3 linked regions of the Canis lupus familiaris genome follow. The protein of the gene in region 1 interacts with the protein of each later gene in a pairwise test. Links are inferred from orthologs where the notes say so. Each region holds a gene or a part of one and is shown in the gene's direction. Other genes may lie near its edges.

Region 1 (5,158 bases):
GCCACTGTGCTGACAGGATAGAAAACAAATATCAAAGGAAAGAGTTGGAATCTGTACAATGCTGAGAACTTTAAAGCAGTTGAGAACCAGTAACACTAAGAACTGATTCCAAACCACCTTTCAAAAACTAAAAATCTCTTCCTGAGGGTGAGTAGTTGATAAACAATATAAGGGGAAAACCCTTATTTAAAGCTTATGACACGAAGGATAATTCTGTGAAACAATGCTGCAATCTACTTGGTAAAACTTTTAAAACTAGATTTTATCTTTTAAGAGATCATGGGAAAAATCTAGCATTTCAGTTTAAAATCCATAACTTCCGTTCCTGTTCCCATATTTGGGTTTGTTCTGCTATATCTGGATCTATTCCAGTGTGTCTGTGGAACCAGACAACTAATAATCTTTACTCAGCATTTCTTTCTTTCTTTTCTTTTTAAAGACTTTATTTATTCATGAGAGACACAGAGACCCAGGCAGAGGGAGGAGAAGCAGCCTCCACGCAGGAGCCTGATGTGGGACTTGATCGGGAACTCTGGGATCACGTCCTCAGCTGAAGGCAGACGCTCAACCGCTGAGCCACCCAGGCGTCCTTTTACTCAGCATTTCTTATGGAATGGATTGATTGGATTAATGGCTAGAGTTTTATTTATTTTGAAGATTTTGGACTTTTTTTTTTTTTTTTTAAATCTCTACACCCAATGTGGGACTCAAACCCACAGCCCTGATATTGGGAATTGCATGCTTTAGGAACAGAGCCAGCCAGGTGTTCCTAACGGCTAGAATTTTACAAGACACTTATGATTTTGCCATTTTCTTTGCATACTGATGAAAACTTCTTGTGACTCTACAGAGAAATGCATGAGGCAGTTGTGAGGTTGGGGAAGAAGGACAAAGAACCAGGAATTCTAACCCAGACCAGGTGTTGGAATCAGAGCTTCACTCTTCTTTACTGTAAAATTAGAGGCTGAAGAAGCTATTGAAAACTTCTTCCACAACTTTTTGATCTAACAGATATGCCTGTCAGCTACCCACATAATTAACCAGTGTGTGCTAAACTTTAAAAGATGTTTTCTGGGCAGCCCGGGTGGCTCAGCGCTTTAGCGCCTGCCTTCGGCCCAGGGCGTGATCCTGGAGACCCAGGATGGGGCCTGCTTCTCCCTCTGCCTGTGTCTCTGCCAATCTGTCTCTCTCTCTCTCTCTGTGTGTGTCTTTCATGAATGGATGAATAAAATTTAAAAAAAATCGATTTAAAAAATAATTTAAAAAAAAGATGTTTTTGTTTGTGATTTATAACAACTACTGAAGTCTGAATTGAGGCACCGTAGCCCTTCCAGGCCAGGTAAGAATCGATGAATCGATAATAAAGTCTCATGTTTTTAACTGAATATACTGATATCCAAGTGCCCAGAAAAATAACTGCGGGTCTACCGTCCATACATTTACTGGGAAGCCTGCTAGTGACCCAGCTTGGGATCCCACAGCCGGCTGAGCGGGCCAGCACCCTGTCGCCGGGAGGGTGGGGGTGGGGAGCAGACTGGACGCTGCGGGCAGGGTTGCGAAGGTTGTAACTGGAGCAAGAAAGGCCCCCGGCAGTAGGGCCTCTTCCGTGGTCTCTGATGAAATGTTGCAGGAGGAGTAAAGACACCCCAAACTCCCCGGGGTGGTGGTCCTCAGACGAGGCTCTGGTTCGCTGAAAGGCGAGAGACGGTCCCCCACAATTTGCATCAACAGGCGCGCGCAGGGCGGACGGTCGCAGCGAGCAGTCAGCGCCACCCGCGAGGCCGCCGCTCACCACAGCACCCAGAGCCGCGAAGGAACCTCCGGGCTAGCCCCGCCGCGCTGACGGGCGTCGCTGCGAGCCAATGGGCGCGCCGGGAGGCGGGGCAGGGCGGCCGAGGGGGCGGGATTTCCCGCGCGGCCGCTCGGCGCCTGGCGAGAGCGGCGCGGGCGGCGACGGCGGCCGCGCCTGCGAGAGAGGGCGGGTCGGGGTCAGCTGCTGCAGGCGGGCGGGCGCGGCGAGCTGTGGGCGGCTGCCGTGTCTCCTCCTGCCGCCGCCCTCCCTCCGCCACGATGCCGGGAATCGACAAGCTGCCCATCGAGGAGACGCTGGAGGACAGCCCGCAGGTGAGGCGCGGGCGGCGGCGGGAGGCGAGGGAAAGAGCAGGGCGGGCCGACCCCAGGCCTGGCGCCGCGGCGGCCGCAGGTGCCCGCCCCGGCCCAGGTGGGCGCCGCCGTCCAGTGCCCCCGCCCGTCGCGGGCCGCGCCCCGGGTCGCCGCGGCCCGGCCGCCAGCCCGAGGCCCGCGTGGGCCTGCGCCGCTGGGCCGAGAGAGCCACCCGCGAGGTCTGGGACGTCGGCGGGCGGCGGCCGAAGCTCCGCCGCCCGCGCTCGTGGGCCCGGCGGTCACGTACGTTCGCGGGGGCTCCCTCGTATTTGACGAAAGGTGCGTTTTCATCGCCGTCATCTAAGGTCGTAAATTCCAATCCTGGGATCTCTTCGGAGGAAATGCAGAAGGAGGAAAAAAATAAAAAAATAAAACAGCACCCCCTCACCCCCTCACCCCCTCACCCCCCGTAGACTTATCCCACGACCCCTGAGCAAGCCCTTGGGGAAGGAAATGGATAGTGTTCCCTCCGGAGTTGCAGGAACGCTGCTGATTTACCCGCCTGGAGAGTCCTCGGCGAAGCCCGTCCTGTGCCTCGGAGCCTCCCCGCGGACTGTGTCCCGCGTCGTGGCCGCGGCTGTGGCCGCTGTCACTCGAGCTGTGCACGGCCGGTGACGGACGGACGGCGCCTTCGCGGCGGCACGACCAACTGCTGCGCGGAACGGTGCAGACTTGGCCCTTAATAAACTCATCAAAATAAAAGCCCCGTGTTTTGTGCTCGGGAGCGGGTGGGAGGGGTAATGCTAATGCGGTTGCTGGAGCCCCGAGACGGTCCAGGGAAACCTAGCAATTTGTTAACGTGTTCGATATTGAAGAACGAGATGAATTACATTTAAAATTACATGTTGGTAGGGCGCTGTAACTTGCATCGGGAGACCTCATCCTCAAAGCCTGTCTCCTACACAAGTGATTTAAGCGATTTAGGACCGTGTTGCTGGTTGGCCACCTCTGAAATGGTGCGCATTCAGAACTACCATTGCATACATTTCACGCGTGTCTTGACGGTTTAATATGGCCCCAAAAGATGAGGAAGTAGGGGCTAGGTCCCCCTGGCCTGTGTGACACGTCTGCTGTGACTTTGTGCCAATTTTAATTGCCAAGTGGAAGTCGGGCTCTGATTGTGGAATTGATTTTTTTTTTTTCCCCATGCCGAAAGTTATCTTCACAGGCCAGTTGTTTGCTGGTAATGTACTCTTATCAGCCTAAACTGACACAGAGAGAAACCCGCATCTTGGTTTATCTTGACTGCCAGAATAGCTAGTTCAAATTCTTTTTTTTTTTTTTTTTTTTTTTTGCTAGTTCAAATTCTTATTGATATCTGAAGTATAAAGTTAGGAGATGTATTTGTTTCAGATGTTTTGTAAAGGTTTTGTGGTACGAGTTGGTCAGGTGCACTTTGTCATCTTTTATTATGTAAGGCTCAACAGGTTGCTGTACCTTTTCTTACCTGGCCTGGTTTTTATAGCCCATAAATCTTACACGCAGGCCACAATGGGTGCCCTTGCCACGACTTGTGAGGAGGATAAAATGTGACTCATCTAATTTCTCGAACTTTTCACACAGTTTACAAATTGAGCATTCTTTTTTTTTTAAATTAAGTATGTGCCATATTAGTATCAGTTTTATAGTAATTTTTTAATGAAATAGCTGCCTTGATACTCTTTCAGTTTCTTTAAGTGATAACTTGAACTAGGTACTTTGGAAAATTAGGATAAATGGGATTTAGAAAGGGAAGACGTGGGACAGGTGGGTGGTTCAGTGGTTGAGTGTCTGCCTTTGGCTCAGGGCAGATCCCGGAGTGCCGGGATTTGAGTCCTGCATCTGGCTTATTGCATGGAGCCTACTTATCCCTCTGTCTCTCTCTGTGTGTCTCTCATGAATAAATAAATAAAATATTTTAAATTAAAAAAAAAAAAAAAAAGGGAAGATGCCTGGAAGTAATACTTAGGGAAAACTTATGGTACGATGGAAAGCCCTAGATTCTGGGATTCAGGATATAAGGGTTTTAGTCTTCACTGTGACTTCACTTTAGGGCAAGTCACTCAACTTCTCAAAATCTTAGCTGTTATAGTGAATGTTTTTATTTTTGTACCTGATTATAAAAGACATAGTCATGAAAGAAAGAAAAATTGGAAGGTACAGGAAACAGTTACCTGTCCTGCACCCAGCAGCAAACCCTGTTAACTGTGTTTCCTCATTTGCTTTTATATATTTTAATGTAATTGAAGTTATATTGTGCATAACAATTTTTAATCTGCTTTAACTTAACAATGTAGTGTTAAGCATGTTCACGTATTAAATTCTGAATAAAAAAATTTAAAGGCTGCATGTTTTTTCATGTGACTTAACAGCTGTCCTACTGTTGGACTTAAAGTTTTTCATAAGTTTTGTTTTTACATATAGGACTGAGGTTAATGCTTTGGGGCATAAATTTTTGTCCTCATTTGGAATATTTATTTAGGATAGAGTCCAGGAAGTTGAGTAGCAAAGCGTATGAAAACTTTTAAAGTTCCTGGTATAGAGAAGTTTTTATTTAGATCATTAGATCCTAACCAGAAGTGGTCTGCCAGTGCTGAGAAAAAAAAGGTAGAGCCTGGGGTCATGAAAGACTATCCTAAGTTGCGGTTATCCATTTTTAGTTTTGATTTATAGTAACTAGGTATTAAAATAGATGGCAGTTTGCAAGTTCAAATCCAGTTGATTGGACATAAACATCTTTAGAATTATCTCCCATTCTGTAAAAGCTTATGTTATTTATTGAAACAGAAAATCTTTAAGGCTACGCTAGATGTCTTGTTCATACTTAAGTATTGTTTTGGAGATCTGGAGCAAAATGAAACTTTCTAGTTAAGAACAGATACGATCTTTTAAAAATAATTGATTTTATGTGTAGATAAATATCAGTAATTGAACAATGCTAGAACTATGAAGATGAAACTAGTTCCAACTGAGGACTTCCTTCTTTGATGTAATATGGAATGTTCTCAGATTATGA
Region 2 (3,588 bases), on another chromosome or scaffold:
GAGTGGCCCAGCGAGACCCCGGTGCTCTGTCAGCAGTGTGGCGGCAAGCCTGGAGTCACCTTCACCAGTGCCAAGGGCGAGGTCTTCTCGGTGCTGGAGTTTGCGCCCTGTGAGTTCACCTTGCCTTTGCCGGTCCCCTCCCAGCTCCCAGCTGCCGCCTGAGGAAAGGAAAGCATTTCCCTGGTGTGGTCACTGGGGCGGTGGCTGGGCTCGAGGGTGTGAAGCCTGGGGGCTTATTCGCCCGCCTGGTGGGGCGCTTCCTCTAGGCCACTTCCCCCGTGTGGCAGCTGTCCTTCCAGATAGAGTTCTCGGGTCCTGTCATTAGGGATTGACCCCTCTTTTCTCTCCTCTAGCAAATCACTCTTTTAAGAAAATTGAGTTCCAGCCTCCAGAAGCCAAGAAGTTCTTCAGCACAGTACGGAAGGAGATGGCACTGCTGGCTACCTCGCTGCCCGATGGCATCATGGTCAAGACTTTTGAAGATAGGATGGCAAGTAGCCTGGCGTGGGCTTGGCGTGGGCAGGTGCAGGTGTTCTTGTGTGGGTGCTTGGCACCCAGAGGCGGCCAGCTGTGGGCTCCTGGACCTCCAGGACTGAGCAGCACCTGAGAGGCCACCCACACCCCTTATGGGGCAGGAGACAGGCTCTTTCACGTGGGGGGCACACACGTGTCTAGACCACACGGTGTGTTCTTTTCCCCCTTCTTTACAAGTTATTACCTGAGTGTTGTTCTTTTAAAAGTATCAGAACGTTGCAGAGAAGGCTGAAGTTGCCTTTGACCAATCCTCACCCAGCCCCTAGGCATCATAATTTTAGGAGTTTTGTGGGTCTCCCTACAGAAGATCTTTAAAAAGAAAAAAAAAGACCACCTTTTTTTATTTTCTATTTTCACATTCTCACACGTCAGCATAAACATTTTGTGTGATCTGTTCCACACGAGTAGCCTGTCATTGCACACATCATCCGTAGTTTGCTTTTTTGTCTCAATGGGATGATTTTTGAGACCTGTTGATGTTGATGCGTCTTGATCTAGTTCATTCTCTTTTAGCTACAGATTAGTATCCACTCACGTGGCCATGTCCCATTGCGTTTTCCATTCCTCCCTCCATGGCCCGGGCCCAGGCTTGAGTCATGCCACCGGAGGCGGTGTGAGCGCGTCCTCATTCCAGGCACAGGCATGCCCGGTCCATCTGTCACCTCATTTATTCAACACCTCCACCGGGCCCCTGCTGTGTGCCGGGCCTGGTGCGAGACACTGAACTTGAGTCTGACCTGGCCGCAGCTGCAGTCCAGCTCTGGCCAGAGGGTCAGAGAACAGAACAGGGGTGCTGTTTGCACCTGCCTGGAAACCATGGGGTGGGGCTGGGGTCACCACAGGGTCGGTGCCACTCAGGGTTCATTCATTCTTTTTTTTTCTTTCTTATATTTATTTAAATTCAATCAATATATAGCGTATTACTCGTTTCAGAGACAGAGTTCAGTGATTCATCGGTTGTGTACAACACCCAGTGCTCATTACGTCACATGCCCTCCTTAATGCCCGTCACCCAGTTACCCCATCCCCCCGCCCCTGCTGCTCAGGGTTCTTGGTGACATCTTTGCTTTTGCTTGAGTTTTAGTAAAACTTGAAAATTCCAACCTGTCTCAGCTCTGCTGAGGAGAGAACAGCACTTTTTCCAGGGCTTACTCGCAGGGACAAATGGCGCAGTGCATTATCTCAAGGCCTGCGGGGTGGCACCGGGCAGTACTCTGCCCTTGCTGTTTTTACATCACCCAGTGTCACGTGTGTTGCTGTAATAGTGGATGCCACCCCCCACCCCGATACACAGATTTCAACTGTCTGGAGGCAGTCTCCCTAATGACTTAATGACCCGAGTTTCTTTGGTGGTCTGCCAGCTTTTCCACTGGGGTTCCAGATCCCCTGTTCCTCTGGTTCCCTAAAAGCAAGTATAGCCTTGCCACCTTGGAATGTTCTTTCATCTTCTGACTAGTTGTAATTGTTGTTGGCCTGAGGGCAGAGGGGGTCAGGGCAGGTGTTTTAAGAAATGAATCTTCAAAGTAATGACTTAATGATAAAAAAACAGTTTGGATGATTCCATTTATACCAGGAGTTAAAAGATGCCGTGTAGGCCCGCACAGAAATAGTTCCATTTAGCTTCTCCGTAGCTGGTGGCATCTGGAATCCCAGGGCGCTGTTCTTCCTCCCCCCGATCCACACAGGTGCCGCGTGCAGCAGCCCGCACCGACCTCAGCCTTCCCTCCCTCTAGGACCTTTTCTCAGCCCTGATCAAGGGCCCCACTCGCACCCCCTACGAGGATGGCCTCTACTTGTTTGACATCCAGCTGCCCAACATCTACCCAGCCGTGCCCCCCCACTTTTGCTACCTCTCCCAGTGCAGTGGCCGCCTGAACCCCAACCTGTATGACAACGGGAAGGTGTGTGTCAGCCTCCTGGGCACCTGGATTGGAAAGGTGAGTGTAATGCCAGCACCGTCGGGGTGGGAGGACAGCCTGTCGGGAGCGGGTGTCTGGACAGAGTCGATCATGCTGTGTGCACATGTGTTTCAGGGGACGGAGAGGTGGACGAGCAAATCCAGCCTTCTCCAGGTGCTCATCTCCATCCAAGGTACGGTGTCGGGGGAGGGCTGGTGGTCGGGAGAGCTGCTGGGGGTTGCGGAGACACAGGCCTCTGTCTCCAGCTCCCACCCGTAGCTCTGGCTGCCCTCCAGGGGTCCTCAGGCCAGCCCTCATGGGCTTCCCACCCCAACGCCCACAGGTCTGATCCTGGTGAATGAACCCTACTACAATGAAGCTGGCTTCGACAGCGACCGGGGCCTGCAGGAGGGGTACGAGAACAGTCGTTGCTACAACGAGATGGCGCTCATCCGCGTGGTCCAGTCCATGACCCAGCTGGTGCGGCGGCCCCCTGAAGTCTTCGAGCAGGAAATCCGGCAGCACTTCCGTACTGGCGGCTGGCGGCTGGTGAGCCGCATCGAGTCCTGGCTGGAAACCCACGCCTTGCTGGAGAGGGCCCACGCGCTGCCCAACGGGATCCCCAAGGACAGCAGCTCCCCGGAGCCGCCTGCTGTGGCCGAGCTCTCAGACTACGGCCGAGAAGAACCTGAGGACGGAGGGCTGGCCGCTGGCGAGGCCTCCCAGGGCTCAGACTCGGAGGGCGGCGCCCAGGGCCCGGCCTCAGCTAGCAGGGACCGCACAGACCAGACTTCGGAGGCAGCGCCTGACACCCCGGTGCCACCCAGTGTCAAACCAAAGAAGCGGAGAAAGAGCTACCGGAGCTTCTTGCCTGAGAAGAGTGGCTACCCTGACATCGGCTTCCCTCTCTTCCCACTTTCTAAGGGTTTCATCAAGAGCATCCGGGGTGTCCTGACGCAGTTCCGGGCCGCTCTGCTAGAGGCAGGCATGCCTGAGAGCGCGGAGGACAAGTAGCTGCCACCCTGGAGGAAGGAATGTCACGTGGGGAGAGGCCAGCTGCTGCCCGCTCACTCCCTCCCCCGGAATCGCCCGTCTTCCCGTTTTCTCCTCTGTCCCCGATGCAAAAGCCCCTCATTGCCCTCTCCCCAAGGTGAGT
Region 3 (4,679 bases), on another chromosome or scaffold:
TTGAACAACAGGGGGAAATGGAGGAGTCATTTGCTGACATGGGCAAAACAAAAGGAGGAACATACCTACATAGAAGGTAGTAAATTCAGTTTTAATACCTGACAGTCATCAAAATAGTGGGGTCTGATGGACAACTGATTATCTGGGCCTGGGGTGCAGAAGTAGGATCTGAGCTGGGATATATATTCAGAAACCATCAGCCTATCTCTGGTATCTGAAACCAAGGACGTGGGTAAGATCACCTGAGAAAGTTATATACAGTCAGAAGTGACTTAAGGTTGGAGAAACTCCAATATTTAAAGGAAAGATAGAGGAGAAAGGATAACAAAATACAGGTCAAAGAAGATGTCAGAAAAAATTAAATAGAATGTGATGCCATGAAAAAGTCTCAAGGAAGAATGAATGTTTTACATGTAAACATAACTGAGAAATCGAGAAGCTTAGAATGAAGATAGGACCTTGGTGAGTATTTCTCTAGGGGTTGGGAAGAAATCAGATTGGATTATGAGAAAATAGCTGTCAGTAGCAGGTACTGGTGTCATTATCTTATGTTTAATTGGGAAATGGAGGTGACAAATAGAGAAGCAGTTAGGGGTGAGTTTCACTTGATCTTAGCCAAAAGGCCGAGAAGCGATAGGGGTGGGTTTCATTGGACAACAGGAAGTATTAAGGATTTTTGAGAAAGCAAATGAATGATGCAATGACAACAAGGTTTGGAGAATGTAATTTTCACCAGACTGTGAGAACATATGGCACAGCAAAAATATTTTCATACACCCAAGTTTCATTGCTCTAAGTACCCAATGCTTTGACTTATAGGAAATGCAGACATTAAAAGATTCTCCTTTGCCATGTATATCCAAGTGTCCTGAGATGAGCCCAACCTGGTCATCACTTGCTACCACCACCCCATCAGAAGCACTCCTTCACTAACCTGCTGGCCCCAACAGGTCTAAGCTGGTACCATTTAAAGCTCCTTCCTCCCACTGGCTAGTCTTGGTTGTTTTGGGAGTTACAGCTGCCAATCATGCTGCCAGAAAGTACCCAATGTCACTGGTGCAGTTGCCAGAAAGAATAGGACTTCAGAGCCCTCCACGGATATGGACCTGATTAAATTGTCCATTTTGGGGGGGCCCTTCATGTAGATCCCCTCTGCTTTGCTCAGTCAGAGACTCCTACAAAGCAAGAATAACTATGTACGAGAGACAGAGAAGTTTACTGAGAATTGCTGCCAGTCATTAAGTGCTGTCCATTGGCCAGGAAGTTTCTTGTGTACTTTTAAATCATTTAGTTGTCCCAACAGCCCTCTGGGGTAGCTACGATTATTACCATTCCTATTTTATGGCTGAGGAAATAGACACGGAGAAATGACAGTACTTTACCAAGGTCACAAATCTAATAGGTAGGGGAGCAGGGTACATACATGGGCTAGTCTGGCTGTCATTACCACCACTCTCTATCACCACTTTGACTTTGTACCGAGGGTGCCTCTACTGCCTACCAGATTCTTCTTCCCCTTATGGTGCTTTTCCTTCTTACTTTTCTAAAATTTGGCCACAGGTTCTACACCAGCTCATCACAAATATTTTTATAGCTGACTTTATGGTGGGGAGGAAATGGCTTTAATCTCTTGAGCCTATGTAAATTAGTGGATACCTATTTCAAGACAGACTATAGAAGGAGAGATGGCTAAAGTTAAGCCCCAGGTCAGGCAGGATGAGAGTATATCCAGGTATCTTGAGAGGCCTGTTATCTACATCCTCCTATGCAAACACAAAGGCCAGGCCTCCAGGAAACCAAATGTCCTCGTAGCTACATATTGATCTGGCTGAGGTATGTTGGATCAACTGGTATCTCCCTCCTCACCCATGTAAGAATATCACTACTGTGTCTGCCATTTTGCCTGCTAATCAAGCAGAAAATTTTAGGTCCATAATAATCAAGTTATATTTACATTTTATACTTCTAGAGACATTTCAAGAACCAGGATCCATTCCCTGCCTAGCTATGGCTTAGAAAATCTCAAGAAGTTCCGGGCCAGGTCAACATACAACTTGAAAAAGCTTCCCAGTCTGGAGAAGTTTGTCGCCCTCATGGAGGCCAGCCTCACCTACCCTAGCCATTGCTGCGCCTTTGCAAACTGGAGACGGCAAATGTGAGTCTTCCTATGTCCATCCCTTGAGCCCCACTTTGGCATTTTGGTGCGCAACTTCTATTTATCTGTGGCATGAAGTGAATCCACTTACAGAGACCTCCCTGATAAAAGCCTGTAGGCATATTCTAAATCGAAACTTCAGTATTGTGAAGGGTTTCCAATTTTCCTGAAATGGGCTCACAGCAGAGGGCTACCCACAATGGTAGATAATCTTTCAAATATTAAATGAGGCAACATGAAAAACACCAAGTATAGTGCCTGACTCATAGCTGATACTTAATGAGTATTTTTCCCTTTTTTCTTATGGATTTATTTTTCAAGTCCCACACTCTGCCACCTATACATGTTCCAGGGACCATACAAGTCAACTTTGGAGGAGAGAAGCATAAATGCCCTACCAGACACTGATGCGCACATACACAATACATCCCAACCCCTCCAAGACTCCTTAATCCATCTTTGGATCTTAGCACCTCACAGGGAGGACTCAGATTGGGACATCTGTTCACTTTGGCTTTCAAGGCTGGTCAAATTTGAAGAAGCCCAGAAAAGAGGGTAATCCAGACAGAGACAAAACCCAGGAGGCAACTGGTAAAAAAAAGATGATGTAATCAGAGAGGATCTGGAGAGAAAGTGGAGAGGGACTCTTTTGGAGATTGCATATAAATGTTTCAGACATTTAAAGGATCCAAGGCATGTAGAATGCACCGGGTAGGAGGAGTTCTCAAAGCCTGCACCCTCCCCTGAGCTCACTAACACAGTCCATACCACGCACTCACACTCAGATGATGCCTTGCCACACTCTTGTATAGCACCACAGCACTAATAGAGCTTCCCTGTGTCATTTCACTGTATGTTACAGTCTCCTCTATTGAACGACCTTCACACACATTCACCCGCCCATGTAGACTTAGCCCCTGCTCAAAAGCAAGATAAAAACAAAACAAAGAACAGTATATACCTAAAATGTTTTCAAAGTAACTAGAAGCCCACACTCACACCCATTCCAAAGATTTGCAGACAAGGGGCTACTTTTCAGAAATACCATGTATCAGTGAGAATCCAGAATCGGACACTTCTCACACATTAGCTCAAGGGCCCAGGAATTTCTTCCTGATGATTACAAGGTGGAAGGGCTTAGGCTGGGGAGCAAGGTTTGCCTCTTTTATATTCCAGACAAGTTATTCCAGCCAGGGCAAGAAAGATACCAATTTACCAAAGAAAACCCTGGAACTCAATGCCCTTCAGGACCAATCTCCGAGGTTGTCAAGATCATTGTAAGAACTGCATGTTATATGCTGCCTGGCCCAGTGCTAACACACTACAGGAATATGTTACCTACCTGCATTGCTCAGATTCCTCTGGTCTTGCCACCCCCCTGGTAACATAGAGGCAGCATCAGAGTTCCTCCTAACCAGAAATTTCCAGGTGTGTCTAACATTGTCCCATGACTTAAAGCCTTCCTTGATTGCCCCCAAACCACCTGGCTCTCATCCTTGCTAGGTCCCTATTGTAATTTACCATCAGGGCCTGTCTGGTACAGCAAAGGAGAGGTCTACCCCTTTCCTAGGAAGAGATGCCAAAACAGAGTAACAAAAATTGCAGTGAGCATTGAGTTTTTATATTTAACAAACTCACAAACACAAAATAGTTATGATATTCGTGAGATAACTACAAGATTTTTTTAACGATGTCATTTCATTATATACCCTAGTAGATGTGGTTTAGTAATGAGATTCAGGTTTAAAGTTGTATGATGCAATTGTTCTTCCAATCCTCATTTGGCAACAATGCCCAAGATGTAAATGTTAGGTCCTTGTGACTGTGAGGTTTTGGTCAACAGCCCTCCTGGACTTTCACCAAATGACCTTATTAACACACCTTATTTGTCCTTGAACCATATAGCTCTTTGTGAGAGTTCTACCCTCAACTTGTAATGTTATTTTGCTCATTTTGTGATGCTAGTTTTATTTAGGCCTTTCCTTCACAACTAGATTTTAAATTGGTGCACTGTGGCATATACATCTAAGTACCCACTCAGGGTCTGGACCCCAACATAAACTCAGTAAGTAACCACTGTCATCTTCTTGGTATTACTCATATTCACTGAATTCTCACTGCCTGGCTCCATGATATTTCCCAACTTTATCTCATATAATTCTCACAAAGGCAATAGTATTTTTATTCCCTTCTCACAGAAGCAAAAAGAGAGGCTCAGAGACAGTAATAACTTGACCAACACCAACCAAACTTAGATCCAAACCTTCTGCTTCATTTTCAAAGCCCAGCCTCTGGGCCATTCTACTACACACATCCTAAGAATCTGTTCATTGGTTTATCTGGGTTCAAGAATTCCCAACTCTTTATGATGCTTATTATTTGCTAAAGTATTGCAGAAGCAAGACTACTGTCCCTCACTTCTATTTTTGTTTCTATCCTTTTCTAAGAGACACACATTGTTTACCTCTTCTATATTCATGTGGTTGGGTCATTTCTGTTTCAGGAAAGGGAAGCATCAATATTT

Evidence for each region. The genes of interacting proteins can lie anywhere in the genome.
Region 2: the proteins of APPL1 (region 1) and UBE2O interact in binary tests that used the Homo sapiens proteins (3 or more experiments, as listed by UniProt). The two-hybrid records come from large-scale screens. The link is inferred for Canis lupus familiaris from reciprocal best matches to the Homo sapiens genes APPL1 and UBE2O.
Region 3: the proteins of APPL1 (region 1) and FSHR interact in a two-hybrid assay, tested with the Homo sapiens proteins (2 studies listed by BioGRID). The link is inferred for Canis lupus familiaris from reciprocal best matches to the Homo sapiens genes APPL1 and FSHR.

What each region holds. Positions count from the first base shown.
Region 1 is NC_049241.1:33,414,853-33,420,010, reverse strand, and holds the start of APPL1 (DCC-interacting protein 13-alpha), read left to right. Parts: upstream 1-1,943; 5' UTR 1,944-2,070; coding exon 2,071-2,124; intron 2,125-2,410; exon of another isoform or gene 2,411-2,493; intron 2,494-2,661; exon of another isoform or gene 2,662-2,841; intron 2,842-5,158. UniProt on the Homo sapiens protein: Multifunctional adapter protein that binds to various membrane receptors, nuclear factors and signaling proteins to regulate many processes, such as cell proliferation, immune response, endosomal trafficking and cell metabolism.
Region 2 is NC_049230.1:5,208,053-5,211,640, forward strand, and holds part of UBE2O ((E3-independent) E2 ubiquitin-conjugating enzyme), read left to right. Parts: coding exon 1-109; intron 110-353; coding exon 354-490; intron 491-2,267; coding exon 2,268-2,471; intron 2,472-2,567; coding exon 2,568-2,625; intron 2,626-2,775; coding exon 2,776-3,446; 3' UTR 3,447-3,588. UniProt on the Homo sapiens protein: E2/E3 hybrid ubiquitin-protein ligase that displays both E2 and E3 ligase activities and mediates monoubiquitination of target proteins. Negatively regulates TRAF6-mediated NF-kappa-B activation independently of its E2 activity.
Region 3 is NC_049231.1:51,821,776-51,826,454, reverse strand, and holds part of FSHR (follicle-stimulating hormone receptor), read left to right. Parts: intron 1-1,969; coding exon 1,970-2,155; intron 2,156-4,679. UniProt on the Homo sapiens protein: G protein-coupled receptor for follitropin, the follicle-stimulating hormone. Through cAMP production activates the downstream PI3K-AKT and ERK1/ERK2 signaling pathways.